Drosophila melanogaster: one gene and its partners. The protein of the gene in region 3 purifies or fractionates together with the protein of the main gene of each other region. This does not show direct contact. Each region holds a gene or a part of one and is shown on either strand. Other genes may lie near its edges.

Region 1 (6,028 bases), on a different chromosome or scaffold from region 3:
CAGCTGCAGCAACGTCAAAAGGATAAGCCCAGAAAGCCATTCCGCTGGAGCGAGTACCTCAAGTCAAAGGGAAAGGATGTGGCAGCGCCCATCCACCTGTTCCTCAATCCGTTCCCCATCAGTCCCAACTGCTTCGAGATCGGCATGAAGCTAGAGGCCATCGATCCGGAGAACTGCTCGCTCTTCTGTGTCTGCAGCATTGTCGAGGTGCGCGGCTATCGGCTGAAGCTTAGCTTCGATGGCTACTCCTCCATGTACGACTTCTGGGTGAACGCCGACTCGCAGGACATCTTTCCGCCAGGCTGGTGCGATGAGACAGCACGCGTTCTGCAGGCGCCTAAGGACTACAACTCGGAGCGCTTCAGTTGGAGCCGCTATTTGGTGAAAACGGGCGGCAAGGCAGCTCCGCGGGCGCTCTTTGGTCATCTGAATATGCAGCAGCAGATGGATGTGCGCAACGGCTTCGCTGTGGGCATGCATCTCGAGGCGGAGGACCTGAACGATACGGGAAAGATTTGTGTGGCCACAGTGACGGATATTCTGGACGAGCGCATTCGAGTCCACTTCGACGGCTGGGATGACTGCTACGACCTGTGGGTACACATCACCTCACCGTACATCCATCCCTGCGGTTGGCACGAGGGACGCCAGCAGTTGATCGTTCCGCCGGACTACCAGAAGTCTGCCTTCATTTGGGATGACTACATATCAGAGGTTGGTGGAATGGCCGCCTCCAAGGAGCTGTTCACACCACGCCAGCCAATGGAGTACCAGGAACGCATGAAACTGGAGGTGGTGGACCAGCGTAATCCCTGCCTAATTCGTCCGGCCACCGTGGTGACGCGGAAGGGTTACCGGGTTCAGCTGCACCTGGACTGCTGGCCCACGGAGTACTACTTCTGGCTGGAGGACGACAGTCCCGATCTGCACCCCATCGGCTGGTGCGAGGCCACCTCGCACGAACTGGAAACCCCGCCTGGCTATCTTCAGCCCAAGTCCGTGATGCCTTGCGATGTGGAGGGATGTCGGGGATTTGGCAACGCCAAGCGCTTCAACCTCAACGTGCATGCTTTGCGGGAATGCTGTCCGTATGCGCCGGAAAATTGGCGTCAGTGGCGCTCCAAAACGGTGAAACCGCCGCGTGTGGCCCCCGAGAATATCAGACGTGGATGGGCGAAGAAAACAAAGCGTGCCTGTTCGGAGGCCAAGCAAGCCATTAAGGAGGACTCCCAACAAGAGATTGTCTACCCGAAGGTCGCGGAAGTGGTGCAAGCCAAGCGAAAGACGTCTCCTTGTGAGGAGAAGGTTGTGAAAAAGCAGAAACAGATGCAGAAGGAGGAGGATGCGGAGCAGGTGCCGGATGAACGCTCCCTGGCCATAGCCAGGTCCTTTGTGAAGGACTATGGACCACAGTTCCTGCCAAACTATCGCCTCTGGCAGCTCAACAGCGCCTTCAAATTGGACGACGTGCGAACCAATCCACTCCACTGGACCAGCTGGGATGTGTGCGAGTACATAGAGCGTGCCCTGGATTCCACTGACATTGCCAAGGTGATCTTCGAGCAGGACATCGACGGCAGGGCGTTGCTGATGCTGGGGCGCAAGGAGTTGGATACGTACCTGAAACTCAAGGTGGGCCCGGCCGTGAAGCTCTACTCCCTGATTCTGAATCTGCGCATCGCGGTCGTCTGCAAGTTTGATTCAAAAAACATCGAACTGGAGAGCAATACTGCTGGTCCGATTCAGAGGGAGATGGATACACCTGTTTCTGCGATAAAACAGCTGCCGGAGCAGTCCCAAACCAACGGCTACAAGACGGATCACGACCAGGAGCTGTCCGAGAGCGGGGACGACGATGACGACGAGGATGTGATGCTCGACAGCGATGACTTTCTCAGCGTTAAGCCGAGCTGCCTGGTCATTGACGAGGACGCCGATGGGGATGGCGATTGTGAATCCGACGGCGATGTGGCGATGGTGCCGATGGAAGTGCGCACGCCCTTGCGCACGTCCTCTTAGGACTCCGGATACCAGGCATCCGCTTCCGTTGATTGATTTATAAGATTATTTTGTTGCACCGGCCTCGGCCCATTCGGGTATTATGTTTATAGGTAGTATTTATTCTTTAAGCCGATATGAATTCGATTTTGTTTGTTTTTCGATCCCTAATCCAATAAATGATCCCTCTAGATATGTACACCATCCTGTCTATTTCCTTGGGTGGTAAGCAAACCTATCTATTCCTCCGGCGAAGGTTTTTCTTCTTCGGGCACAACTATGGTGCCATCCACTTCGAAGAGAACGTGACCGAACAACTGGGTTACCTCAACGAGCTGCTGGAACTGCTCCATGTCCTCGTAGCGCAGGTTGTTCACATCCTGGTAGTTCTTCAGCGAGGTCAGCAGTTCGTGATCGGAGAGATCTCCATCCTTTTTCAGGATTATCATCAGAGCCTTTAGCTCCTTAACACTCAGCTTGAGGAACGAGTTGTCCATGAGCACCTGCGTGGCTACGGGGAGGATTTTCTGGAATGGTATGGGGATTAAGCGAGATAAAAGTGCGGAAATTCATACTTTCGCCACGAGATCCATCAGTGCCGGATGGTGGTGCTCGCTGGCCAGGTGGAAGACCTGCAGAACCACCTCCATGGGCCACTCCTGGTGGGCCAGCTTGTCGATGTAGCAGTCGATGAAGTCCAGCATCTCGTAGCGCTCGGCCAGCAGCATGAGGTCACCGCACATGTCGATGGTCACCGCATTGCACACCTCGTACGTGTAGATGTAGAGGAGCAACGCCTCGTAGGCGGTGGGAGAGGCGTCGTCCACGCTGATCACTCGCTTGTTCTTCTGGAACTCGGGATCCCTGATCAGGCGCTCGAACTCCGCGGAGGCGGAGATGAGCATCACCTGGTGGCAGCGGAAAATGCATGGACAACGCTTGCCCTCCTTCAACTTGTCCGGTTGCGAGACATGGAGCTCGCAGTCCGACTTTTGGCCATTCCGCAACAGGTCCAGGCGGCGTAGCTTGCAGTTCATAGTGACTGGGGATTTTTTGGAGGCTTTGCTCTCACATAGCACAAAATTTGGAATTCGAAATTAGGGTTTCCCTGGCAGGAATGTCAGACTCTGAGAAGGAGGCCGCCGGCAAAGCCCACCTGGGAAGCAACAATCGGTGGTCCGACCTGGAGGAGGAGGAGGAGGGTGAGGCGAACGACCAGGGAGGGATCCAGAACTTGAGGCCGGAACTCGTTGTGCCCAGAACCACAGCTGCATCGGATGTTGAGGAGAATTTACCATTGGGTTCTCCGAGTGATGGGTCCAAACGCGCTACGAGTAGAAACCGCAGACTGGAATACTTTCGCAGTGGAGCCGATGCCGATTGCCAGGTGCACGTCCTGAGCAACTGCCCCCAATCCGATGAGCCGGCGGTCAGTGTGTGCTACAAGAAATTTGGCTGCCATCGGATCTTCCTGGCCACTGCCTCCGACAAACTGGAGCAGGACGTGTACCAGAACAAGGACTGGAACGGCGTACTCCAGATCAATGGGGTTTCGCCCGAGAGCGTGGAGATCTTCCTGGAGTTCATATACACCTTCGAGGTGACCTCGCCGCTGGTCCAGCTGAAGCTGGTGGGGGATATGTTCATCCTGTCCTGCGCGTACAACATGCCGGAGCTCCTTCGCTCCTTTGCTGAGAAACTAAAGGAGCAGGAATTGCCTCTGGATGGCATCTTTCCTGCCTTCGACCTAGCATTCCGGCATAACATCATCGATGTGGAGCGCGTTTGCATCGAGGTTAGTAGATTGGAATATAAAATGGAGCCTTAATTTAGTTAGTTATCCTTTAGAAAATCATAGAGGAAGGCGCATCATTGATCCACGAACCCAGTTTAATGAAACTCCCGGTCTATGCTCTAAACTACGCCATCCAGCACTGGCTGGTGGCGGATGCAGTGCCTCCCGATGAACTCATCACGATTTTAAAGCAGTATCAGGAGATCAATGAGATTACATTCGCCAACACGCAAAAATTCCCGCACTTCACCAAAATTATCAAGTATTTCCCCAATGTTCTTCTGGACGCCGAGGGATTCATCAATCAAAACTAGAAAACTACTTGGAATTCCCAAAAGCTTCGCGCATAAAACCCAAAAATTTAAAAAAAATAAGCCAATAAAATATCAGTTCTCATTAGCATTGTATTGGGTATCTTTTGCATATGGCAAACTGGAAGCTCATCTAAGGGGAAGCTTAGATGAAAGACAGTCTATATTTAAGTTGTAGTTTTCAATAATTTCCTATTGATCAAAAGCGATCCAAACTTTAGAAGCATTTTTCAAAAAGATAAACGAGCAGTGCTGCCAACCGGTTGCACCACTCACGCCGGTATTTTCTTATGCGCCATTTTCGGTATTTTCCGGCAGATACCAGCCAAGAAGCGAACGCGTTATGCGAGGGCCGCATTTGGTACACTAGTGCGCCATTTTACTCGCATAAAGCCGAAAATTCACACAGTGGCCAGAAAGCGAGAAATTGCACAGTGCAAAAAGGTGTTTGGTAATTGATGAAAAGTTTTGCGCGTACCGTGAACCGACCGTTAATGATGTGCCCGCACGCGCAGCGGTGAAAGGCAGTTAATTCGCCTGTGGAGACGCGCTCACCACAACAAACTCGTGCTGTCCGAAAAAAAAAGTCGGCGCTCGGATTGCGGATTATCGAAGTACCGTACGGCAAGGCAGCAAAAAAAGTACGGAAAAGCCGCCCATGCAACGCGGCCAAAAAAGATAATGCAAGTGCAGTAATATTAATTGCCTGGCAGAGCGGCGCATACAGACACACTCCTCCTTTTTTCCCCACTTTTTTTGTTCTCTGGAGGCGCATGTTTTGTTTTTTCGTGCACTGTACCGTGGGCTCAGTGTGTGTGTGTGTGCGTCGGTGTGCCTGTGCGTGTGTGTGTACACATTTTAGGCGGCAATGGTGTGGGGCCCTGGCCAGCCGATAGTCCGCCGCGCCGCGAATGTTATCGATAGACGAGCCCTAACCATTTGTTGTTTGTTTTCCTTTTGTTGCAGTTTTCATGTCTATATAAACAAACGTACAGCGAAAGTCGGTTAAAAAATCAAGCAGCGAAATGGAGGAGATATCCAGTTTGGACTCGTTCGGCGCCGATTCCAATGCGCGACCGGAGTCGGCCACCCCCAGGTCGGAGGAACAACAGGATCAGGATCGACAACAGACTGCTCCGGCGGCCAGTGAAACTCTGGATACGCCCGCCTCGCCGCCAGCGGAGGATGCAGCTGCGCAGGAAAGCAAACCGCCTCCTTCCAAGGAGGCGGATGACGACTTCGAACAGATCTCCGAGGGATCATTAGACGCCGATGATAACCAGTCGCGGGATAAGGCGGCTAGTACACCAGCTGATCCCGTGGATGCGGAGGAGCCCGCCGAGGAGCCAACGCCCAACGAGGAGCCGCAAGGCGGTGAGGATGAGCAGCCACAAACAGAAGCCGTGAGGGTAGATCCACAGGAAGAGCCCGAGGAGGCGGAGGAGGAGACTGATGCCCTCCAGGCCACTGCGGAAGAGGTGGAGGCAGCGGCCGCCGAAGCAGATGCTGTGGACGGCGGTCCCGCTTCACCCGAAGCAATGGATGTGGATGAAGGCGAGGTGGATGCAGAAGGTGAAGCTGAGCAGGAAGCAGAAGACGACGCAGCTCTGGATCGAGAGGCGACAGATGATGTAGATATGCAGTCCGTGGGCGCAGATTCACACCAGGCGGAGGATGCAGAGCCACCGGAGGGCCGAGATGAGGTGGACACAAGCTTAGAGGAGCAGGAAAATGGCCAAGATCCTGATGAACGGGAGAAAGATGCGGCCGCCGATGAAGATGATCCGGATGCAGAAGGAGATGCGGAATCGGAGCAGGTGGATGAAAATGCCGAGGAAACTGGTGAGGCCGAACATGGCGATGGTAAGTCTTAGTACTTCTTTGATGCATGTTTATAAAAGACTAAATGAATGAACTATTTACA
Region 2 (8,453 bases), 400 kb from region 3:
AAAAATAATGGTATAGGTTGTCTCCCAGGAGCTTTTCTACAACGCAATTTGTGCAGGTTAATAGAAAACGACTATTTTTGTATGATTTGATACAGGATCAATCAAACACACAAAAACCCACACTCACACACAACGGCACATACACATGCTCACACATATGAAATTGCATTTATACAACATATAGAATACGAGAATCGAAACAGACAATTGACCACGCCTTCAGTTCCGTTCCCCGATGTGTTGGCCAAACCCCGGCCACTTTATATATAAAAAACACTTAATTGCCAATTTCTTTTTATATAACCATTCTTCATTGCAACACATAATATTCTAATTAGTTGAAGCTCCCTAAAAGTAAGCAGAAAGTTCAGCAAAATGGTTTGTTAATTGAATTAAAACTGACTAGCGAAGCACGTTCAAGAACGAATGTAATTTTAAGCATAAAATGTTAATTATTTACATTTACCTTCTATCTACCCCCCGTTTTGATTACACCATACTCAATTTTCGTATTCGGAATTTCCATTTAAACCCTTCCCAATTAAGTGATGATTATTATGATTTATGCGAAAGTAAATGTTAAATGAACGTTGATTGTATTGTACAAACGTTTCTTACGTTGCGGGGCGAGAGTGGAAGTGGAGATGGCGATTTATTTGAACAGCAAATATAAACCTTACCTAAATTTAATAACTATATTACCCGCACGCCTGCTCCTACTCCTACTCCCTAATCCTCTAGCGTTCTACCATACACACAGCCATGATACAGAACCCGAAAAACACACACACACACACACCGACTCTGTTCACATTTCAAAATGAGTATCGACATTTTAATTTTGTGCAATCCCCTTGATTTATATTAAATTGTTTTCGACTTATATTTTCCACTTAAATAATTTTCTTTGCGCCGCGGTGTAAATTGTCAAAAGCAAGTAAAAGATTTGGAACTCTTCCAGTACTTTGTACGAGTATCGGGTGATGGTTTTTCAGTTTTCTCAACTCTACACCGCGCAATATCTGACAGTTGAAACACAAAGTATAAGAAAAATTATTAATTTTTTACTATTACTATTCAATAAAAACAAAAAACCATATAAAACCAATAAAAATCGTAAACGAATTTTTTGCTTTTTTTTTGCAACATTTTTATTTTGTTTCACGTTTGTTTAGTATTTCGATTGCTTCTGTTAAAAAAAAATATGATAACACCAAGAATAACAGACCTGATATTGTAAATTTTTAAAAATATACATACATATTTACAACAACTGCATTAGTAATTCTAAGAACGTAAAAATACAAACTATATCAAATGTATATATTTTCCTATATTAACGGACAAAATCAAATGTAAGAGTCGACGGCCAAATGGCAATTGCTGTCTGCAAAACAAAATATTTTCATTAACAATTCGATTTCTAACTATAATTTTCAACCCAGATATAGCAGATACAACCGTATGTCTTATTTCTTTTGAAATACAAAAGTTTTAAACCGAAACTTTTCTGTTTGAATAAAGGCGCGATCTGGCAGCTCTAGGTAGTGGTGTCACAGCGTCGATAACTAACTTAGTTTCTCACCGAGCTGCAACAAGTTTAATTACAATCGATAACGAAGATTGGAGCTTTTAGTGAGTAAAATTTGACCCATTTCTGTTGTTTGAACGTTTATTACGCATTACGTATTTACTTAAGCGATTTTGTGAATTTTTTGTGTGTAGTTATGTGCACGAGAGATGGAATTTTTGACCGAAAGCTGCTATCGATAGTGACATTCCTTCGATTTATTTTAGCAACCATCGATAGCTAAGCAAGCGAAACAAAAAATTATTTTCAACTTGAAAGTTTTGCGACAAGTGCGTGCAGTTGGCATCGAAATAGTTAACAAAATTGCCGCAGACTTCCGGAGACAACGCCGTAATGGAGGACCGTAAGTGTGTGGCATACGGACGCAGTGCATCATTGCAATTCCAATGCAGCGGCACATGTTTCCGTGGGCTCTTGTGACCTGGGCGATTGGGACACCTAAGACCTTTCGGGTAATTCGGGTATCATTACTATTGTAGGACTCTGATTCAGCAGCGGCTTTGCCAAAAGTTTTGGGGGACTTAGAATACACAATGAGTTAACCTTGGTGCGCTGGGAATCAGCAGATGAGTCATGGTTCCGATTTGCGTAGGGTGAAAGGCTTTCCAACTATTCGGATTACCGTGGAAGTTCTGCGACATGCCATCGATGGCAATCCGTTTGGTGGGCGGGGGTCAGGTTCTTTGTGGTGTAAGTATTGCATTCTCGGTTTCCGACGTCCATGCATACGTGGCTTTTAGAAGCGCAACATCCGCAGGGCGGCTATGATATGCATATCATCTGAAAACGCCTCCTCCCACTGAGCTTATCACCATGGTGCCACTATAATTGTTCGGAGCTCTGTTCCCCCACCGAAACCACTTAGTAATTGGCTTCCACTTGTTGACTTCTCGATGGGATTGGGCCTGCCACAACAACAGGCACTTCTGAGCAGCAAGAACTCGCAGCAAACCAGAACTAGCTCACATATATATATATATATATATATAGTGTAGATATAGGGTCCATCAATGTGGCACAGTGGCTTTGTGCTCATACAGTGCTTGATGGTCGGAGGAAGCTGGGAAAAATCGGAAAAATCCAAACTGGTAATTGCTATTTAGCAAGAAGCTAAATTATGAATTATTTTCCTTTTTTTGTTTGGCTCCAACAAAGCGATACAGTTATGTACAGTACGTTTTTGCAAAGAAAAACTTTATTTATAGTTATATTTAAAGTTCCTTATCATAGGGTTTTTCAATTTTTAAAGTTGTTCATCTCCTCACAATTGTTTACTTAATAAATTTAAAAGGTACAATTAAAGAAGAATATTATTCAATTAATAAATTGAAGTCTCGGTTTATCAAAGCTTTTTGACTGATAAAATAATCATTTTAGCTGCAATTAAATTAGACACATATATGTATATCTAGTGTCTTATCAAAGCGTACTTATTATTTATGCAAATATTATTAGCTTTATAACTTTCCCATGCTTATTAATTTATAAATTAAATGAAGTGTAAAGTTGGTTACTATAGAGCTAATGTATTTACGTAGCTGTAACTTTTAGTCAAGCTCTACTGTAGTCTTGCTGGTTGCTACTGCTGCTGCTGCCTGTTGCTGCCCCTTTTGTTTAGCGCTCTTCTTGTGGCATTTCTCGTCTTCGTGCTGACACGAATCATCAACAAGCGGAGCCAAGCGGCCAACCAATCCACATCTACCAATTTCTAAGCCGAGATCGAGTCAGTTGGCATTTGGCTGTAGACGAGCGTGGATGGAGCAGGCCCAGAATCGAAAGCGAAAACGAAACTGAAATCGAAACAGAAACAGAAGAACCACCACAAACCAGCTGCGATCGCATGGGGAGAGGAATTTATGTGGAACGCGGCGGGCCAAGAACTGAAAGCTCAGCAAAGAACGATCGAAGTGGCTGAAAGCAGGGCCAAGAAAAATGTGCTCGCTGCTGACCGTGGAAACGTGATATGTGCTTAGGATTGGGCCAAGACAATATGAGCCTCCTGCGCCAGCAGCTGCCACGTTCAAAATAGAAAGTTGCTGCCAAAGATGAAAGAGAGCGCCGCTATTGCCACAGAATGAGCGAATCGGAACCGAATAGCCTGGAGTTCATTGAAGACCCCTATCTGCCAAGCATTGATGATCTCACCAGCACACCGTCACTGGATCTGGAAACCAATGATGCCGTCTTGGACTGGTATGGCGATGGGCAGGAGGAGAGCGAGGCTGAGCTATATTTGCGTAATCTGACGCTAGACCAGATATTCTACGATGTGGATTCGGACTACACCAACAGCCTGGAATTGCAGGCAGTGGAGGCGGACTTCATTGCCGCCAAGTTGGCCAATCAAGCGCCATCGTCTTCGATGGCCAAACGCTTCCGCTTGAAGTTCTTTGCCAAGCGAACCATGCGCGACGTTAAGGTCACGTTCATAGACTTCTCCAAACCGTATCTGGCCAAAATATCAAACAGTGATAACTACAAGAGATTCCTCAACATTGGGCATAGAAGTAGAGGTACCAAATTCGGTCAGTGGGGAGGGGGGTTGGTGGGCTTAGGTCGGGTCTTTGTTCTGTGGCATTCGCTTTTCCACTTTCAACCATGACTAACCAGACTAACTTCTCTGTTTCTTTCTCCTTTGCCTGCCTTTCGCCTCGTCAGTTTGTGAGTATTAACAAAAACCCAGATCTAACCAATTAACCAACTCATGTCTTTGCAAATTGTACATACTCGTATATACAACTAAATTCGGTGTATTCAGCCTATGACAAAGTCTTTGAGGAAGTTGCTTTCAAAGGAGGTACTTAAACACTACCCGCCGACAACATTGAAATTAAGCTACAGTCCCCACACAGCACCCCAAGTTTTAATGTTCCCTTGGATTGGCATATATTTAATGGCTTTTTATTTCATGTTCAGATAATACAGCCAACCTGTCGGAGCCAGCATCTCCAGCTAATTCTGTGGCATCCGCAGAAATTGCCGCCGAGTTCGCTGCGCTTTCCGTCGAGGAGAAGGAGCAGCGTCGGGCTGAGTGGAGTCAGGTAAGGAAGTTTTCAGTTTTACGATCATAATTTGATTACTCAGCTCGAACGCTAACTTCTACTTCAATTTCCAGGAGCTCGCCCGCGTTGAGGAAGAGATCAATACGCTGCGAACTGTCCTAGCCTCCAAGACGCGCCATGCCTCCGATCTCAAGCGCAAGCTGGGCATCACCGTCTGGAAGGAGGTGACGGACGACGTGAACCAGGGCCTTAAGAACCTCAAGGAGAGCACTGTGTAAGTCTATGAACCGTTCGCAGTTCTGCTGGGCAATTAACCCGACTAGACAGTTTTAATTTCTAACCATGCTTTTTGTTTCAAACTCCTGTTGAAACGCTATAACGTGTATTTATTTAGTTACCAATCGGTGGAGCAGAGCGTGGGCACGTTTACTAAAACGGTGTACGAGGCACCACTGTAAGTAATTGGGTTCAGGCTGATTTTTAATTGGGTACTTTTGGAGTTACCGGACTAACGCCGTGTTTCACGCCACTTCCTTTAACACAATAACCAACTCTCGCCTGTTTGTAACTAAAGCGCACCTATGTTTGCCCACTTTGTGTATGGAGGAAAACTATCGAGATGAGTAACTAATGTTGGATTTATTTGTACTCTCCCCTAGATACCAACGCACTGAGTCGGTGCTAAAGTCCACGGGCGAGAAGACCGCCTCGGTGTTTGGCAGCATCACCAGTGGCATTTCGTCGAAACTGTCGCAAATGAAAAACTCCGAATCGATGCGTTCTATCGAGGCTTCGGTGGGCTCTGCCTACGAGAACGTTAAAGTAAGCTATGAACACAACAATTTTATGTGCCAATCTCATGCGGTAACTACTATTTTATTATATATCTGTCTTTACACATCTCTCATACTGTTGCGATTCTGTTTTGGTTCCCGTCTAACTAACTAGCCACTAACTAACCAACTAACTAACACTAACCACACATCTTTCACACTTGCTCACCCACTATAAACGCACTCTGAATTGGGATACTTCGGTTGATTTGCTTGCTTACACAACGAACTACTCCTTGCGCAAATGCTACTGCACCTCTACTACAATCTGTTCGGTTTTCTGTTCTATTGTAGACCAAGGTGACATCCCGCTCGGGTTCGGTGTCCAGTTTCCCAGATGCCCTGGACGAGAATAACACATCCTCGGGTCTGAATTCACCCACAGACTCACTCCCGAAATAGATTTCGGGGCAACTGCAAGGCCAAGCGCGTCGATAATGTGGAGCAACCTATACTACATACAAACAGACCCACGCACCCACTCTATTAACTTATTTAACTAAAGCGAATTGTCGTGTCTGCGCACTAACAACAGGATCAGAATTAATTTAACCAGAAATCATATGTACACCTGTGTCGATACGGTTTATATAATACTTAATATAACTAAAATCTGCGCGTCAAAAATTTGCCAATGGGAGCACATATTATATGCATCTATTTGTATTTGCCTTGGAGACACCATCAAATTGCATGACTTGTTTAAATTTAAAGCCACGGAGGATCGAAGATCCAAGGGCTTGCTGCATTCGTTTATATAACTATCAATCTAAGTGTACGTTTAAAGACTAAACCACATTGGATGGTCCACCCGATGTCATTCCCAAATGTTTCTAATACTTAGTAAAAACATTAGAAAATCATGCATTGCGGTTAAAGTGAATATACATTTGTTTTACGCTTTTATTTCTTCTCTAGGCGTTGAGTTCCGTGGTTAGATGGCGTTCCCTAATCCGTTGAAAAGCCAATTCCAAATTTATTTAGTACTAAATATTTGTGTTACGATCAGAGCTTGCGTGCAAATAACGAAAATCCATTGGTAAACTTAAGTGGATGTAGTCCGTACTGCTGAAGATTGAGAAAGAGACGAAATCGCACCCAATTTGTTGCTAATGCTGATCAAATTTGCTATATGTGTATGAAATCTTTGAATAAATGCAAAAATTTTTGCCCCATAAAAATAGCGATGTCTTTTTGATAAATGATGTTTGGGAGTATATGTGTGATTACCTTTTCAAACTTAAACTACAGCTAATGAATTAAAAAAAGTTAATTTCCAATTTCATCTGTCAGCTTTAAATATCCCGCCAAAAATTATAATAAAGTTGACAACTCTGATTTAACCCAGGGATCAACGTAAAACAGCTGTTTGCTTTGACGAGGTGGCAACGCCATAGAGGGTTCTTGCATACTTCTCAATTTTTTCTTCAGGCCACAAGAAAATCTTTAGATATGAGGAATTTTAAATGAAAACAGCGAGCAAACAGAACGCATCGTGATGCCGGAAACCTAATCAACCACTCCGAAGTAAAGTGCAATTAAATTACATAGTTTTATACAACTGAAAGCGGCTGGCCAGCCGCATAAAGTATTCGCCTACACCAGCATTGTTCTAAATGCTAAAAAGTTTATTACTCATTAAGCATTTGTGTGCCTAGTTAGTTAATTAATCGCAGCCGAAAGATGAACTTGACGTACTTGTTCGTGCTTATTTGGCTGGCCTTCCTCATCAGCAGCGGCGTGATGCTCTTCTCGCGGGGATTCCTATTGGCCCGGGTGTCCAAAACGGAGACGAGCACCTGTCGCAGGTTGTCCACAAATCCCAATGCTGTAAGTACTAGGTAATGAACGAAATGGGATGCATTTCAAATCCTTTGTCCTCAAACAGGAGTACGTACTCACCGATGAGGTTGTGAACGAAATCTTTAAGGATGTCAACGCCTCCTCCAATCTGTGTCTTCCGCAAAAGTCGAAGGTTATTGTCCTGGTTGTGGATGCACTTAAATATGAATTTGGCCTGTACAGGGCGAATGCTACGGATCCTTTGCCATATGAAAACAAATTGGTGGTGCTCCAGGAGCTGCTGCAGCAGAATCCTGACCACGCCCGCCTAATGAGATTCCGAGCGGATCCGCCAACCACAACGTTACAGCGCCTGAAAGGACTCACCACCGGCAGCCTTCCCACATTCATAGACATTGGCTCCAATTTTGCCTCACCGGAGATCAACGAGGATAATATCATTGATCAAATAGTCAAGAACGATCTACCAGTTGTCTTCCTGGGGGATAGCACCTGGACGGATCTGTATCCTCATCGCTTCAAACGATCGTACTCCTATCCCAGTTTCGATATATTCGATTTGGATAGCGTGGATAATGAGATATTAAAACACCTGCCCAAGGAGCTGGAAAGTAAGGATTGGCAAGTGCTGGTAGCCCATTTTCTCGGCGTCGACCACTGCGGACACAAACACGGACCCATGCACGAGGAAATGGCGCGCAAATTGGGCGAGATGAACGAGGTGATAAGGTAGGCGGCATCACATTTATTGGTAACCGCATATCATCATGTCCATCATTCATTTAGATCCGTGGTGGCGGCCATGGACAACGACACCACGCTGCTGGTGATGGGCGACCATGGAATGACGGCTTCCGGCGATCATGGGGGAGACACCGATGACGAAACCAACGCTCTGCTGTTTGCCTACTCCAAGCAGCACAGATTTTATGGCAATGATTCGGGCTCAGATAGCGAAATGCTGCAGCAGGTGAGATAAGACAACGTTTAATCACGGCGCGTCACGTCACAGTGATAAGCAACGATATTTGCTTTCCAGATTGATCTGGTACCCACGCTGGCCACCATTCTCGGCGTCCCAATACCGTACTCCAATCTAGGCCTGGTCAACTTCAACATTGTACCCGATCTGCGAGTACCGCATTTAAACAAGTTTCAGACCCTTTTGCTTCATTCCTGGCAGAATGCCCAGCAGATCTATCGCTACTTCTTCCAGTACGCTTT
Region 3 (8,166 bases):
CTGCTCCAATGGAATTCGTTTGGGATCCCATCTATTGTCGCTATATGGCGATTGTGTTGTTTGTTTTAAAGACAATAACTGGAATTTCTTGCAACTATTATTATTATTACCACCACGTCGCGTACTTTGTACACAGATATCTCATTGTATCTTCGACTTTTTTCTTGAGACGCACATCACATTGCCAAATTTATGGGCCCCGCAAATGAAAGTTCGATCTAATGGTGCGTCAGCAGAGCAAACAAGTGTCTTAGATAGCTTCGCGACAGTTGGGTCGATGTATCTGGCAGATATTTGCTCACATGCCCGTCTCATGTCCCCTGGAAATGAAAACAAACTGATTATCTTTAGTCGCTAAACAGTGGAAGCAGACAAACGCGTGCACCAGAATGGTTGTACTAAACGATCTTAAGTCCGCACGTATAACGTGTCCCATCTAAAAATCGGCACCAGGCGGGGGGTTGGGACTACGGATCTCCTCCTAATACACTTGTCATGATGCCGCTGTTTGGGTTTCGATCTCATCAAACGAGTTACGACGAGTCAATGAGAGCGAAGTTATGATGCTCGGAGTCACGAATCGATTGACTAAGTTTCGTTAAGCTTTTTTGGCAGGTTTTGGTAGACTTTGATACCCTACCGACTCTATAGGAAATTCACTGGGGATTCCAAATTTATCAAAAGGCGCTACACCGAATACGGTTATAAGTCGCATCATATATAACACGACAAATCTCCTTTGAAAGCCAATGATTGTGTCAGTAAAACGCTGAAGTAGTATCACATTTCATGCTATCAATGTGACTGTAAAATTTAAAATTTCAATCAATAGAGATTTTGGTATGATTTATATGTTTTAGATTATACCTTTAGTAAAAATTCTATGAGCTTTAAAAAAGCAAATAATAATTAGTAGACTACCATTAAATGGACTGCCTGAAATTTATCCCCATAAAAATCCCCGTAGTGATCGCAGAATTCCCCATAATATCATTGTTTACATCCATTACAAACATAGAGAGCTAATCTAACTTTGGTTTTAGTAAAGCTACTTAACCATTTACCCAATCGGGCTTATGCATTATTGAAATCTTAGCTCGCTGTACCGAATTAATTGAGTTTCGATGGCCTAATGTTTTATAGATTCACCCATATATCGTGCTTGGCACAATAGGTTCGCCACAAAGCGCCAAAAATATATCCGTTAATAGATCCATCGGTTGCAAAAATAGCTACCTGTCGTATGCAAATCGATTATTGGTTTATGTAAATTGGAAAGTTCTGCCGCACAGCAGCTCTTCCGTTGCCGAATGATGCAGCATTTTCCGATCCCAAACCGAATTTCCATCAACCCCCCCCCCAGCGAAGTGATCACGCTATGCTCCACTGGCAAATCCGTATGATATCTGTGTTTTTGTTTCACCTTTCCGCTTTTCACGTGTCAGGTGGCAGAAGGGGCGGAGTATTGGTTGAAAATAATTGCCAGTCAATGCAATTACACATCCTCCGTCGGATTTTATCGGGCGGGTGTTGTTCGACCAATTACAATCCGTTACACATTTTTATTTGCAGCCCAGCGAAATGAGCAGTTGTTCTAATGGATTACAGATTCGTACTATACTATATAGACTTTCAGTCTGCATCTGATTGCACAAGTTTGCCGCCGGACTGGTGATGAATGATGCCCGGGTTCTTAATATGCAAAACGTGCTGTTTGGCTTGAACTTGGCCAACATGTCGACTTTAGTTCCTCAATACGAAACTAAAGGCTTACACCCCCTCAAATTCAAGTTCAAGTGCCTGTCGTTCAATGGAAAACGAACGAACTGCCGCCAAATTGGCAAGCTTTGTTGGCCCCGTCAGTGAGCACATAATCACATAACTAAGCTAAGTACGACCTATTCGATGTTGGCCATACTAAAGTCGACCGATCGCAATTGGCCGTTCGAGCGGCCCGTTGCGCATGTTAATTGCGGGCCAATAGCCGATTTTGGCTCAGATGACATTGACTAGGGTACTTCCACCCATTTCCATTGTAGCCCACTCTAGAACTTGGGTATTCCGATGGTGAGTTTCTGCGGTCTTTCAACCGAACTCATCAGGAATTAAGTGCACACGAAGAAATTATGACGTATTCCGCATATTTGATTAATTATCAACAAATTTATAATGATTATTCAGTGCAATAGTCAAATTTATAGCATCTTTCACTTGATTTTTTCTTTTAAGAATTCCGCATAACTTAAATATTTTTTTTCAGTGCTGTGAAGCTTAAAACGTAGATTTCCTTGGGGAATTCTGGAAGTGCGAATACGAACGTCATCGTCAGATATATTTTTATGCAAACTTTGCACTTCGAATGCCAAATGAACCCAATCGAATTGGGTTGTCTTAGGTTCGCAGTTTAATTTTCGACGTCAGATCGAAATTTAGCAGCCATTAGGAGCCACCTGTTAGCATCTTAACGTGATGTGATCAAAAGAAAGGTGGCAGGTGCGTCAGTTGACCACCCGAAATTTTGGCTTTTAGCGCGGCTAATTCGAGGAATTTTCCTCGCCGCTTGATGGGGGAGGCAAAACGACATCCATCTAATCTAATCGATGCTGTCCCTAAATTAATTACGAGTCCATCAGTGGCTAATTTGCGACAAGCGCCATAAAGCAATAAGGCCCAATCAGGGGGGGGACTAAACCATAAATACTAATCTATAAACACTGCGCAGAGGGTAAATCCTCAAATCAGATTGTCAAAACATGACGAAAACAGAGGCCACCTTTTGATAAGGGGCACAGATAATTTCTCCGGCCGATTTAAATTCCTTTCCGCTCCAGCACACTGGAGCTATTCGCTTGAAATTGTAATTGTCACAAATTTACAAAAAAAAAAAAAAAAAACACAACATGTGAGTTTAAGTGCTGCAACAAAAACAAAAAGCCTCAGGCATCAGGTTTCATCATCTATTTATAACTTTTGGCTACAGCGTTAGGTGATTAGTGGTAACGCACCATGAGTTATTTTTTTTTGCCATATCTTTTTTATGTTTATTTTAATTTACTTTTACGGTTATGTAAATATGTTTAATTTTAAAGCTAACTAGCACATATATTCATTATTATATTATAATATATATTTTTTTCTTTTACTTTCGTATAACTGATTTGGGTAAAGATTTGAAATTTTAAACCAAGCCGTTATCAATACGCCTAAAATCGCGATCAAGCCGCACAGAAATCGCACTCAAAACGCGCCAAACGTGAAAAACGCGCCGTATGAAATCGCGTGCAAGCCGCAATACTCATTTATCAAAACCAACGATCAAACCTTATTCTATACAAACAAACATGTGCGCAATTCGTTCGAAAATTCGTTTTCTAATTTATTAAAGAAATTGCTGAAATACTACTATACAAATGAATGGAGTAATACACTTAACTAACTCGGAAAGTTTTTTATTAAAAATTAAAATACAAATAGTTGTTAGCAAGCACACAAACCGATAATAGCAAAAATATTACATTTTTGTATCGATTTAAATAACGAATGATTATGTGACAACGTCACATACGGTCACACCGAACCAAACGTGCGTGAGAGTTTCCCAATTTTGTACGTGGAAAAATCATACGTTTATTATCACAAAATCTATACAGAGTGCTTTGCGTTTACCGACATTTAATATATTTTTTAAATTCCTCGTCGCAGAAGACAAACAAGATGGCACAGAGCAAATTGAACGATCTTGCCGGCAAGCTGGGCAAAGGTGGTCCGCCGGGATTGGGAATCGGACTGAAGGTCCTGGCCGCCGTGGGAGCAGCCGCCTATGGAGTCAGTCAGTCCCTGTACACCGGTAAGGATAAAGCCGATAGGATAAAGCCACCGATTTGAGGGATAAAACCATAAACACGGGCAATAGCGGCATGTGCACATAACCTCAAATGATTACAGAGTGCATAGAGATGTTGCTTTGTGTGTGTGTGTTTCTGCTGTTTCCCGGATTTCATAACTTCCAATATGATTTGCAATATTCTTATTAGACTCTATCTAATAAGATGCATGTGAGGAACATGCATTAACTTATCAGTTATCCTCACTTTAATTACTTGTTATTGTTGGCCAGTCCCACATTTCATCTTCCCATGATTGCATAACAAACTCCATTATATTTGTGTTTACTTTCGGGTCTTAAGTCCAAAGTAATTACATATAAGTTATATATTTAACTATTTACTATACTATGTATGCAAACCCACTCACTTGATTAATTCTCCTTTCAACAGTTGAGGGTGGTCACCGCGCCATCATCTTCAGCCGTCTGGGCGGCATCCAGAGCGACATTTACTCCGAGGGACTGCACGTGCGCATCCCCTGGTTCCAGTATCCCATTATCTATGACATTCGCTCGCGTCCCCGCAAAATATCCTCGCCCACTGGCTCCAAGGATCTGCAGATGATCAACATCTCGCTGCGTGTGCTGTCGCGCCCCGATTCCCTGAACCTGCCCTATCTGCACAAGCAGCTGGGCGTGGACTACGACGAGAAGGTGCTGCCCTCCATTTGCAACGAGGTGCTGAAGAGCGTGATTGCCAAGTTCAATGCCTCGCAGCTTATTACCCAGCGTCAGCAGGTAGAAATCTTCATACTAACCATGGTTAATTCAGTTTGTATATAGTAGTTGTCTGTTACTAGGTATCCCTACTCATCCGCAAGGAGCTGGTCGAGCGCGCCCGCGACTTCAACATCATTCTGGACGATGTGTCCCTCACCGAGCTGAGCTTCGGCAAGGAATACACGGCGGCCATTGAGGCCAAACAAGTGGCTCAGCAGGAGGCACAGCGGGCTGTCTTCTTTGTGGAGCGCGCCAAGCAGGAGAAGCAGCAGAAGATTGTTCAGGCTGAGGGAGAAGCCGAGGCTGCTAAAATGATATCCTTTTACAAAACACTAACTAGAACATTTTTTCCCTTTTACATCTGACTAAAAGGCTGTTAGTATGTTGTGAGCTGGAAAAACTGTATTGTTTTTCTGTGTTCATCGTTTATTTTTGGCCTTCTTGAAATATGTAAATAGGGATTATGCTTACCCAATTTATTGCCACCTACTGGTTCTTCTTAACTGATATGTTTACTTAGGTCTGGCCGTGAAGCAGAACCCAGCCTACCTGAAGCTGCGCAAGCTGCGTGCCGCTCAAAGCATTGCACGCACGGTATGATTAATCTTTTAAATCTCTTCTGATTTAAAATTAATGAAATGCTTTTCCCCTATCAACAGATTGCCAGCTCACAGAACAAGGTCTATTTGTCGGCGGATAGCTTGATGCTTAACATCCAGGACTCTGGCTTCGATGACATGACCGAGAAGGTTTACAAAAGTAAATAGCTCTCGTTTTGATTAACAAAAAGAGTTTACTTTTAAGTTGAAAACACTTGTACTTTTGGTTTCAATCACATTGGCCAAAACTTAGACATAGCCTTCATAATTGAGTAATTTCTAACGCGTTTTCCGTACTCCATCTCTCTTCCTATTTGCCGCACAAAATTTCGTTCTGTTAACGTTTCACCCGATCGCGCAACCCAGTAGCCGATGACCTGGACTAGGAGGCGATCCACATTCGTTGTTAATTAATTTTTATTGAAATTCCTTCGAGCTAGAGCCTAAGTACCGTTTAGTTTTAACCACTCCCAAGCGGCGCATTGGCTTCATTTTTTCACGAATTATCTGCCAAGTGCTAAGTCCTTGTCACCCGGAGGCAGCTTCATCCCACATCCGTTCACTGGGTGCCAAGGATTGAAACACGGCCAGGCATTTTGTGGACCAATGATACCAATGCGGGCAAATGGCCGCATCAGCATTTAACTTTCCATGTCCCATCATCGAGAGTCACGTGAAACGGAAACTGAAAATAAATGCGTACTGAGAACTGTCTGAAGATCGTTGTGTCCCCCTTTATAGATTGCAACTGATTTCAGCTTCAACTGCCGGGGCACACCACTCGTGAAAAAACGAAGCGGCGTCCCCGTGCAGCGATCCCTCCACTAATCCCAATCCACCCAATCATTGCAGTTGGCACCGGTCTGCCCAAGGACTGGTTGGACGCGCGGAAAATGGCCTCGAAGGTCGCCCAGCCGGCGGAGAAGGAGAAGAACGTGGGCAACGTGGCGAGCAGCATGGCCGAGCGGATGATGTGATCCACACCTTAGCGGGGGCTTCCTGTCAAGATCCTAGTACAAAGCGCATACAGAACAGAGCCAAACAGAACGCCGACTTCGTCGCATACGATTACGAAACATTTACTTATCGTTTTAATTGCGTGTATAAAATACATAAGAATAGTACATAAGAGTGTATACAGTATATAATTTAAGTGTATAGAGGTTTATGTATGTAAATTGTAGGCAGATTAGGTTGCTTCTCCAGGAGTTGTGTCCCCGCGGCATTCCCATGTTGTGTGTGTGTGAGAGATCTTGACTAGAAACATGTGTGTGTGTTATGGGCATGCATTCACTGCGATGTTCATCCTTGATGTTGAGCAATCGAACCACCGCCCGGGGTCTCCAAGTCATATAAATATTCTTAAGTCTATCCATAACGAACTCGAACAATCAAATTCCTGCATTAGGCGCGTGGGGTTAGCTTTGTATGTGAGTTAATTTGTAATTGTTAGGTGGCTTAGAAGCGACGCGACATGGACCAGGATCAGGCCGTCGCCGGTGGCTTTCCTCCTCCGGATCCGCTGGCCCCGCTGGTACTTCCGCTCTCGCTGCCACTGCTGCTGGCATTGCTGTTGGCCCTGCGGCTCTCGGCCAGACCGGGTGTGTCCCTCCGATGACGACGCAGCGTGGAGCTAGCCGATGGCGCGGAACTACTCAGAGCAATGTTGGCCGTAAAGGCAGCAGCCTCCGCTCGGCTCGGAACGGTTAGAGTGCCTCCCACGCCCGATGACGAAGGTATGACTCCACCGGAACCGATTCCGTTAATGGTGCTGTTGCCATTGCTAGTGCCGCTCGCTGCAGCTGCGGCGAAGGACTCGGTTATGCTGGCCAAGGGTCATAAGTTCGTCGTCTGCACCAGTCCACGCTCCAGATGGAAGCACTCCAAGACGGCGGCGCCGACGGAGCTGCGTCGAGCCACCATGGCGTTGACCACGCTCCACTTGTTTAGCCGCGTATCGTATCGCTCCACGGAGTTGAGCGAAGAGCTGCCATCGTTGCCGCCCAAGGCGAAGAGGGCACCCTCCACCTCAACCACTTCATGGGTGGATCTGGAAAAGAACCGAATTATTAAAAAAGGGAATGAAGTTGGACTATTTATGAGGTATCCTTACCTTCGCGAGTGCATTGCTGCGATGGGTTCCCAGCTGTTCCTGCGCAAACTGAATCGCTCTCCGCTGGACATGCACATGGTGCCATCATTACCACCAATGCAATACAGATGCCCGTCGGTGGAGGCGACGCCGCAGCTGCTCCTGCGTGCCGACATGCTTGGCACCGGTTGCCAGCGACCCACTCTGGGATCAAACCGCTCCACGCTCGACTGGTAGTTGGTTGAATCGAAGCCGCCCAGACTGTAGATGCAATTTTCCAGCACAGCCAGTCGGCAGTACCTTCTCCTTGTGCTCATCGCCGGACAGGAGCTCCAGATGCCTGTGAGCGGATCATAGCGCTCCATGCTGCTCAGACAGGAGGCGCCATCGTAACCGCCACAAACGTAGATCAAGGCATCGTAGGAGCAGATGCCCAGACAGCTACGTTTCGTACCCATTGGGGTGATGTTGCTCCACTTGTTGGTCAGAGGATTGTAGCTCTCCGCCGTGGCCAGATCACTGACTCCATCGTAGCCGCCGACCACATACAACTGCTTGTGCAGGGATGTTACTCCGGATCGAGATCGTCGCCACAACATTGGTGCCACTGGACTCCAAGAGTTAGAGCGCGGATTGTACACCTCGCACTCGTTGTGAATGGCGAAGAGACTGCCTCCTCCCACCGCAAATACGTAGGGTTTCATGCCCTCCGGACGACGCTCCTGGGTTCGCTGGCTGCCCATTATGCTGCGCTGCTCCGGAAGCAAATGGTACTTCATGGCTTCCAGCAGCAGCTCCTTGCACTCGGAGTCATCGCGCATGAGGGTCTCCGTTTCCACGCAGCTCATGAGGAAATCCCTGCTCACCAG
Region 4 (7,681 bases), on a different chromosome or scaffold from region 3:
GCAAACTTCTTGGCCATCTGACGGGTGCTGGCCATAGCATCGGAAACGGCTTGTAGCAAGGCCTGTTTGCCTGAAAGAAACGATGATGCGTTGAATAGTATTATAACATTTTTCGATTAGTTTAAACTGGAATGACTAATCTGCCCCAAAAAAAGCTTAAGGCATCACGACAGTGGACTAGTTTCCCATGACAACAAATTTGCCCAATTTTGGGGTTTCAATGAAGCATCAATCAATGGAATCAACAAGGTAGAAATCTTATATTACACATATTTTATTCGTAATAAAAAACTCAATTGTATCTATGTAAGTATATTCATATTTCATCAAAATCAAATATGTATTTATGATTTATGAGTTGTTTATTTTTCCGTTAGGGCTAATCTTTGGAGTAATTGCACAGAAAATGAAAATTGAAAATTGAATTGAAATGAATAGCACAGCAGTTCAAGTTAGAGAGGTTGGACTGTAGTTCCCGACAAAACCTAACCTCATTTTTTCAGCCGCAGGAGGAGCCTCTAAATGACTTTTCACAGGCATATTGAAAACTTACTTGCATTCGCAGACACTGAAGCCTCATTCTTGGCACCATCAGGCTGCTCCGCATCCTCGTTTCCTGCTGCATTCGTCGATGCCGTGTCCTGGATATTTAAGCCGGCAACAACCTTTTCGAGCATTGCCTCCGATGCGTCGGCCACCTCCTTGGCCTTCTGCTTTAGCTCTTGACCCGAGAGGTCCTCTGCGTTTTCGTTCGGCATATTTTGCACTGTATTTCTTTTTGAACAGTAAAGCAAATTAAAATTGCAATGAAATCGCAAAACTACAAGCAGAGCAGCTGATTTTTTTGGCGATACCTATCGATGTTTTTTAAAGAATCGAAAGTGGCTGGAGAATCAGTGTTACCAGAGGGTGGCGAAGTGAAAAGCTTGTCGCGGTGACCTCTTGGCAGTTTAAAGTACATCGTTTTCTAAAACTATATTTATTTATTGAGTTCAATAAAATTCAATTCAATTCCTTCGTTCAGCAAAGGATATTAATAAAATGAGGGGCTTTAATTGTTTAAAGCTTTAATTGTAAACAATTATTAGAATTATATAGAAACAAGCTTAAGAATCCATCATTAGAGTCCATGTGCTGCGCTTCAGGACGAGCAGAACGAACAAAACAATTCCAAACGCGCTGTGAAAATACTCGGATATTATCCCGACCCATTCCCAGAAAATGTGGAGCCGTGCAGAATACGGAATGACATTGAATATCCAAGTAAGGCCCATCACGATGGAGAGCCGCAGGAACTGTAGGTAACTATGTGGATAATACGGCAAGGATAACTAGTTTACCAAGGTCCAAGGTTTTATCATATCTTACGTCTGGCTGTCAAAGTTTATGCAGTTAATCCTTCCCTCCTCCTCATTTGTGAACTTATTTATACCCCCCTTCACTTTCCTAATGTAAATGGCTGTCAGGGCGAACATGGCGACATTGAAAGTGCTCAGGGCCAGCGACGGTCCACTTATATAGATCCAGACGGATGGGTGCCAATCTGATATGGAAAAGCAATACGTAACCATGGTAACGATTTAAAAGCAATCGCATTGAAAGTTTACCTTTGACCGAGCACCGAATAAAACCGACCAGAGGCAACCAGTTCCATTTACTGGGATCGTTTTCCCAAATCTGATTAACTATATAAATACTTCCCGTCATGATTGCGGCTGTGCTCCAGACGAAGGCGTTGTACCGCAGGAACCGATAGTTAGGGTCGACTCGATTGAGCGACGTCAAGACTTTCCACGTATGGTAGCTGATGACGGAGAGCCAGAGGTTGGAAGCCATCCGGAAAAAGTGCGAGCTGTAACCTGCAAGAAGTCAACGATATAACATTTAAAGCTTCCAGAGATATCTCCAATTCGAACTAACCAGCTGGAGAGCAAATGCCATTCAATAGATTTAAATGATCTAGTATCATGATCAAGCACTGGATAAACCTCGAAACTATACAGCATACAATGCACTTGCCAGTAACATTTCGCAGCTTCTTAATGTATAGATATACTGCGATTGTTAGGACAAAGCATATCATTGTTATAATTAGAACTGAAAAAGAAAATATAAGAAATAAAAAACCAGCTTATTGTAATTAAAAAACTTGCAAAGGGCACACAGAATGCAGTCAGCAGTTTGCACACCAATAAGGAGTTATTTTCGTTTCTTTCTATATAGCTATGAAAACGATATTGATGACTTTTGTTATAAATAATAATTGAATTACTCTCTAAGGATCCAGGAGATATGTGGCTTGTGCAGCGGTGTCGTATTATCCACATGGACTTTGGAAAATCCGAATCAAAGTTGTGCCGGTACAAGCAGTAGTCCTGTTTTTCCATGAAGAGGTCAACGGTAACCCAAAATTTTCCATCCTGGAACCAAACTATAAGTCCACATTTATTGAAGATTTGAATGCTAACCTCTTCTAAGAAATAGTTAAAGTCGCTGATGTAAATCATTTCATCACAATCAAAGAACTCATCTCTGATAATAGCCATATCGGTGAGTGGTACTCGTGCCTGTAGGTCCATGTATGTGAAGTATATATAGGGTTTGAACCGGGCGAGCTCCTCTTTGAGACCATCATCGCATTTTCCGTTGGCCAAAAAGTTCTTGGCTGGGCAGCAGATTCGAATACAGGGCCGCACGCTGCAAACACAGGCCCTTAAATGCTTTTCAATCGGCGTAATCGAACCGTCCCCAAACTGCCTGAACTCGTAGTATCCAGTTAAGCTAGCAGGAATTTCGATGTCATCATATAAATACGAATCGTTTTGCCTTTCAATGTATGAGATATCAACCGTGTCGTAGTAGTTGCACCCGGGAATATCTGCATTTGAGTTGTTCGTAAAAATTAAAAGCAGAACTGTACAGAAAATCACCCAAGGAAGCCTCATGCTGAGCACTACAACACTTGGCACTAAGAACTTTGCCCGACTGGCGATCGATGCTCATCGTTGGCAGTTTAAATAGCCTTCAATAGCCGTTTGGGCAAACACTTTATTCGGAAAGTAGTCCCTGCTGACCAGCCTAAGAAAGCCCTCAAACAAATTTAGTTTTCAAACTCATTTTTTGGCAATTTCCGACCTTTTATCGTTAAAACGAAAAATATTCGTCCCTGGGGAAGATCACCAACAAAAATGTCTAATTCATTATCAATTCATTATAATTTATAATCCAAAATCAAAATGTTCGCCTGTCGATACTTTTGATGTAAATTTTAAAATTAGGCGGGAGCTTTTCCCTGGCGTTAGATTATTAATCCATTTAGAAATTCCGTTTGAGCCATCTGGCCACTCTGGCACCTCCTGATAACGCAATTGTATTGTTTATATAGTTTCTAAAGCCGAACGAGAATGCAATGTGGCGATATCAGTTGCTGATAAGCACTGGAACCCTGCAGTACACAACCCATAACCGACGATGACTGCCACCAAAAAGCGTCTGAAGATCGTTGCAGCCATCTCGCTGCTCCTCCTGCTCCTGGTCTACCTTTACCGAATGGCCAGCTTCTGCCCAAGCGGAAAGGTCGCCGTTTCCGTTCCCGGCGTCGAGGAGGTTCAGGCCAAATGGCCGCCCACGGAAAGTCCGCTACAAAGGAGCCTTCAGATGGCGTACGAGGAGCAGAGCTCTCTTATTCGAGAACAAAAGGCCGAACTCCAGCGCACAAGGGAGAATTTGGCCAGATTGGAGGAACAAGTTCGTAGCCTCCAGACCAGCACACCGCGCAAGTATCCGAAGGTTAAATACCTGAACTATAAGAATCGCAAACGCATACTAATTACCGGAGGAGCTGGCTTCGTGGGCTCCCACTTGGTCGACGATCTGATGGTCCAGGGGCACGAGGTCATCGTGGTGGACAATTTCTTTACGGGACGCAAGCGAAATGTCGAGCACTGGCTGGGGCACGAGAACTTCGAGCTCATCCACCACGACATAGTGAATCCGCTTTTCATCGAGATCGATGAGATCTACCACTTGGCATCGCCAGCCTCGCCACCGCATTACATGTACAATCCGGTGAAGACCATCAAGACCAACACCATGGGCACGATCAATGTACTGGGTAAATATTTATAATATCAATCAAAGAAAATAAGGATTACACCTAACGAGTATATCTTTTTTGAAAGGTCTGGCCAAGCGCGTGATGGCCAAGGTTTTGATAGCTAGCACTTCGGAAGTGTACGGCGATCCCACAGTGCATCCGCAGCCAGAAACATACTGGGGACATGTAAACCCTATTGGACCGAGAGCCTGTTATGACGAGGGAAAGCGTGTCTCCGAGACGCTGAGCTATGCGTATGCCAAACAGGTAATACCTTTAGCAATATATATACTTTTTTGGATAACCACATTCCTAAGCCAGATCGAAAAAAAAACATTAAACTAGCTGAGATCCAGAAATGTGGCAGATTTTTCCTGTTTCGATCGCTAGTTGAGCATTAAATGATCTCAATTGGAATGCTATTAATTGATGTTCCGCTCGGTTGGCTGACGCGAGATAAGATTTCCAAGCGCGAGCACTGACCACATTTTTTGATCTTGGCCAGCAATCTGGGAGTCAAATTAATTGCTCTTTAAATGTATCTGTATCGACAGGAGAAAGTGCAAGTCCGAGTGGCGCGCATCTTTAACACTTATGGACCGAGAATGCATATGAACGATGGACGAGTGGTGTCAAACTTTATACTTCAGGCGCTGAGGAATGAAACCATTACGGTGTATGGAAATGGCAAACAAACGCGCTCCTTTCAGTATGTTTCGGATCTGGTGGACGGAATGATAGCCCTAATGGCATCCAACTACACACAGCCGGTGAATTTAGGCAATCCTGTGGAGCAGACAATCGGCGAATTTGCCGAGATCATCAAGAAACTGGTCGGCGGGCCCAGTGTGATAAAGCAATCGAAGGCCATGGAAGATGATCCGCAGCGCAGAAAACCGGACATAACTCGAGCCCGCCAGTTGCTCCATTGGGAGCCAAAGGTTCCCCTAGAGACTGGACTTCAGCGGACCATCTCCTACTTCCGCAACGAATTGGCGCGTAGCGATCGCTTTCAGGAAAGCTCCAACAAGTACTTTGATACACATACACCGTAGAATTAATTGGGCTTAGCTCTAATTGGTGATGATGGAACGTCTCTAGTCTGCAAATGTAAATATGACCATCGTTAGCACTAATTGTAAGCCCTCAAGGACCACAGAATACCTTTGTCATGGTTAATTTTTTGAAGTTTTGCGATATATCAGCCTATGTATGGATTAGGAAATAGTGATGTATAAATGCGATCAAATGCACTGAATTCTAGAAAACTAATTTGAATTTGTTTAGGAAAAGAAAATCCCCAAAGAATACAGAACTTAGGGAGTATGGAAACAACAGTTACAAACGGTTTATTATTCACGGACGACATTGCTATTCTTTTGACCGCATGTGTACCACATAGACACAGAATCACTGGGTTACATGACACTTAGAAACAGTATAATCCATTGTATTGTAGAACCACTATCGTATTTTAAAAGTGCCCACAAATTCATACGTTACATCAGAAGGTTGCGGCATATACATATATCAGAACCAGTGAGAATTGAACAAATTATTGAAGATCTGTGACTCACAACTTTAGACACATAACACCTATATGCGCCTTTAACCAGTGTAAGCACACCCCGATTCTAGAAGATAAGTAGGGTTTTCCAGTTGCTGTAGTTGGTAGTCCATTAAAAGAGATTTTTTCTGCGAACTAATCTTACCCGACAAGTATTTTACTATTTATATACATGGCTTATCCTACGCTTAATCTACTCTAGTATACATCCATATATACCTAAGACTATATTTGCACCTTTGCTTATCAGCTAGATCAACTAGTTTGGGCGCCCGCATAATCCTTTTCACCTGGCCAGCGGCTCGAGCATCTCGAGGAACAGTTTCTTCATGGTAATGACTTCATCGCGTGCAATTCCACGCCAAAATCTTCGCAGGATATCATCCGCCTGCCGCAGCGAAGGCAGCAAAAGCAGCAATTGTTGCTGATGCGACACGGCCGACGAATGACGCAGCAAGTAGACCACATCGTTTAGAGAATTAAGAATCGTATCACGAAATGCGCGCAGGGAACTCTGATCATCCAGCAGAATGTCGCAGTTGGCCAGCAGGAGCGCCTTTAGCAAGTAGTACTCCTCCCTTCGTGGCGATATTCTTTCCATGCGCTGTGCGATCTGGACGCAGTGGTAGTAGAACTCCGTGTAACCGCACTCCTTGGCCAAATGTTCATCCATCCAGACATCCGTGGCGAAGCATAACTTGCCATTGAACGGTAGGGACCGGAAGGTCAGCTGGAGCGTCAGGATCTCTGCCCACGACACCTGGAGAAGCTTCATCTGGTCGTTAAGTGGCAGATCTATAAAGCCAGGTATCTGCTTGGCCCAGCCAATGACGCTGACCAATTCCTTGTCGTAAATATCACTAAGGACGCTTAGTATCTCATTGGGATCATTGTTGTTGTTGTTTTGGAAAATGCAAGTCCCATTGGGCGTAACAACGCTGGACTCCAGTTTTATGCTGCCCGAGGAGGATGAGGCCTCATCATTAGTTATGCTAGTCGTGTGGACTTGCGGCGGCGGCGTTTGGACGCTCAAGGCATCCGGCTCATATGAATTGAGCACCTCCAGTATCTTGACATCGCACAGCGAGGTGGTGTTGGATTGGTATAGCAGCTGCATAGTCTGGTAAGAGTTTGATACAGGATTCCTTCGGTACTTCTGCCGTCCTCCACGAACTCGATCCAAGCGCACACCCTCCTGAAAAGTTAAAGCGATTAGAGTTTAGGAACTTTAACTCGGGACTATGAAATTACCTTGAGCATGCCCATTAGTAGACATTTCTGGAAGCGACACGCTTGGCAGGCCTTGCGTCTCCGCTTGTTAATCTCACACTCGTTGTTCGCCGGACACGTGTACTCGATGTTGCCTTGGATGGTGCGTTTAAAGAACGCTTTGCAAGCCTCACAACTCGCCACACCATAGTGGAATCCACTGGCCACATCGCCACAAACCAAACACAATCGGCGGAGCTCGTCCCTGACGGATCCCGATCCAGCTCCGGCACTCGCATTGGTCGCATTTCCACCACTCGTACCACCACCTCCTCCTCCGCCATTGCCGCCACTTGTACCACTTCCTTTCAGACTATCGCCATCATTGCTTAAGGATACATTGTGCAAATCGCAGGATAGAGAGGTCGTCGAGCTGCAGAGCTGCCTTTCCGGCGAAACCGAGGGCGAGGATTTCAGGCCGTTTGTGCCACTCTGCGTGGCCGTTGACTTGGAGCTGGGACTAAAGCAGGACGCCGATGGAGTGTCCACCTCCTGTTTGATGTGCAAGATGCTGACGCCGTCGGACATGTTCGTGCCTTGGCTGGGTGAGAAAAAAAGAGTTGCGGATAAAATAAGAAATATGTTTCAACAAGTTAAAGCCTTTGATTTGAACTTCAAGAAAATGATTGATTAGATAGAGGACTCGAGATACAAGGTTTAGGATAAACGATATGGTACGATATGAGGATCAACCCAAAATGCGGAGAGAAATGAACAAGTAAAGAGTTGAAATGTGGGAAAAACGTTCA

What was found.
Region 1: the proteins of Phb2 (region 3) and CG14260 purify together in Drosophila melanogaster (affinity purification with mass spectrometry, with the first as the bait; one large-scale study listed by BioGRID). This does not show direct contact.
Region 2: the proteins of Phb2 (region 3) and CG5174 purify together in Drosophila melanogaster (affinity purification with mass spectrometry, with the first as the bait; one large-scale study listed by BioGRID). This does not show direct contact.
Region 4: the proteins of Phb2 (region 3) and Uxs purify together in Drosophila melanogaster (affinity purification with mass spectrometry, with the first as the bait; one large-scale study listed by BioGRID). This does not show direct contact.

What each region holds. Positions count from the first base shown.
Region 1 is NT_033777.3:27,262,494-27,268,521, reverse strand, and holds CG14260 (uncharacterized protein), read right to left. Parts: upstream 3,066-6,028; 5' UTR 3,036-3,065; coding exon 2,574-3,035; intron 2,526-2,573; coding exon 2,238-2,525; 3' UTR 2,099-2,237; downstream 1-2,098. Other genes in the region: l(3)mbt (lethal (3) malignant brain tumor), read left to right, coding at 1-2,019; CG14262 (uncharacterized protein), read left to right, coding at 3,116-3,793, 3,847-4,107; woc (without children), read left to right, coding at 5,130-5,967.
Region 2 is NT_033778.4:18,419,620-18,428,072, forward strand, and holds CG5174 (uncharacterized protein), read left to right. Parts: upstream 1-3,312; 5' UTR 3,313-3,665; coding exon 3,666-4,116; intron 4,117-4,249; coding exon of another isoform or gene 4,250-4,252; intron 4,253-4,349; coding exon of another isoform or gene 4,350-4,388; intron 4,389-4,507; coding exon 4,508-4,632; intron 4,633-4,706; coding exon 4,707-4,867; intron 4,868-4,987; coding exon 4,988-5,047; intron 5,048-5,252; coding exon 5,253-5,457; intron 5,458-5,720; coding exon 5,721-5,828; 3' UTR 5,829-6,344; coding exon of another isoform or gene 6,345-6,386; 3' UTR 6,387-6,602; downstream 6,603-8,453. Other genes in the region: PIG-O (phosphatidylinositol glycan anchor biosynthesis class O), read left to right, coding at 7,110-7,256, 7,315-7,958, 8,016-8,199, 8,269-8,453.
Region 3 is NT_033778.4:18,815,919-18,824,084, forward strand, and holds Phb2 (prohibitin 2), read left to right. Parts: upstream 1-3,548; 5' UTR 3,549-3,606; exon of another isoform or gene 3,607-3,702; 5' UTR 3,703-3,714; coding exon 3,715-3,847; intron 3,848-4,277; coding exon 4,278-4,624; intron 4,625-4,686; coding exon 4,687-4,920; intron 4,921-5,122; coding exon 5,123-5,200; intron 5,201-5,265; coding exon 5,266-5,365; coding exon of another isoform or gene 5,366-5,373; exon of another isoform or gene 5,374-5,571; coding exon of another isoform or gene 5,572-5,591; exon of another isoform or gene 5,592-5,921; intron 5,922-6,057; coding exon 6,058-6,182; 3' UTR 6,183-6,332; downstream 6,333-8,166. Other genes in the region: CG15097 (uncharacterized protein), read right to left, coding at 7,042-7,255, 7,319-8,166.
Region 4 is NT_037436.4:8,177,570-8,185,250, forward strand, and holds Uxs (UDP-xylose synthase), read left to right. Parts: upstream 1-3,353; 5' UTR 3,354-3,471; coding exon 3,472-4,114; intron 4,115-4,181; coding exon 4,182-4,363; intron 4,364-4,650; coding exon 4,651-5,151; 3' UTR 5,152-5,800; downstream 5,801-7,681. Other genes in the region: Nmt (N-myristoyl transferase), read right to left, coding at 1-70, 554-758; mthl7 (methuselah-like 7), read right to left, coding at 1,107-1,305, 1,369-1,543, 1,608-1,859, 1,921-2,097, 2,273-2,945; ERR (estrogen-related receptor), read right to left, coding at 5,950-6,858, 6,915-7,473.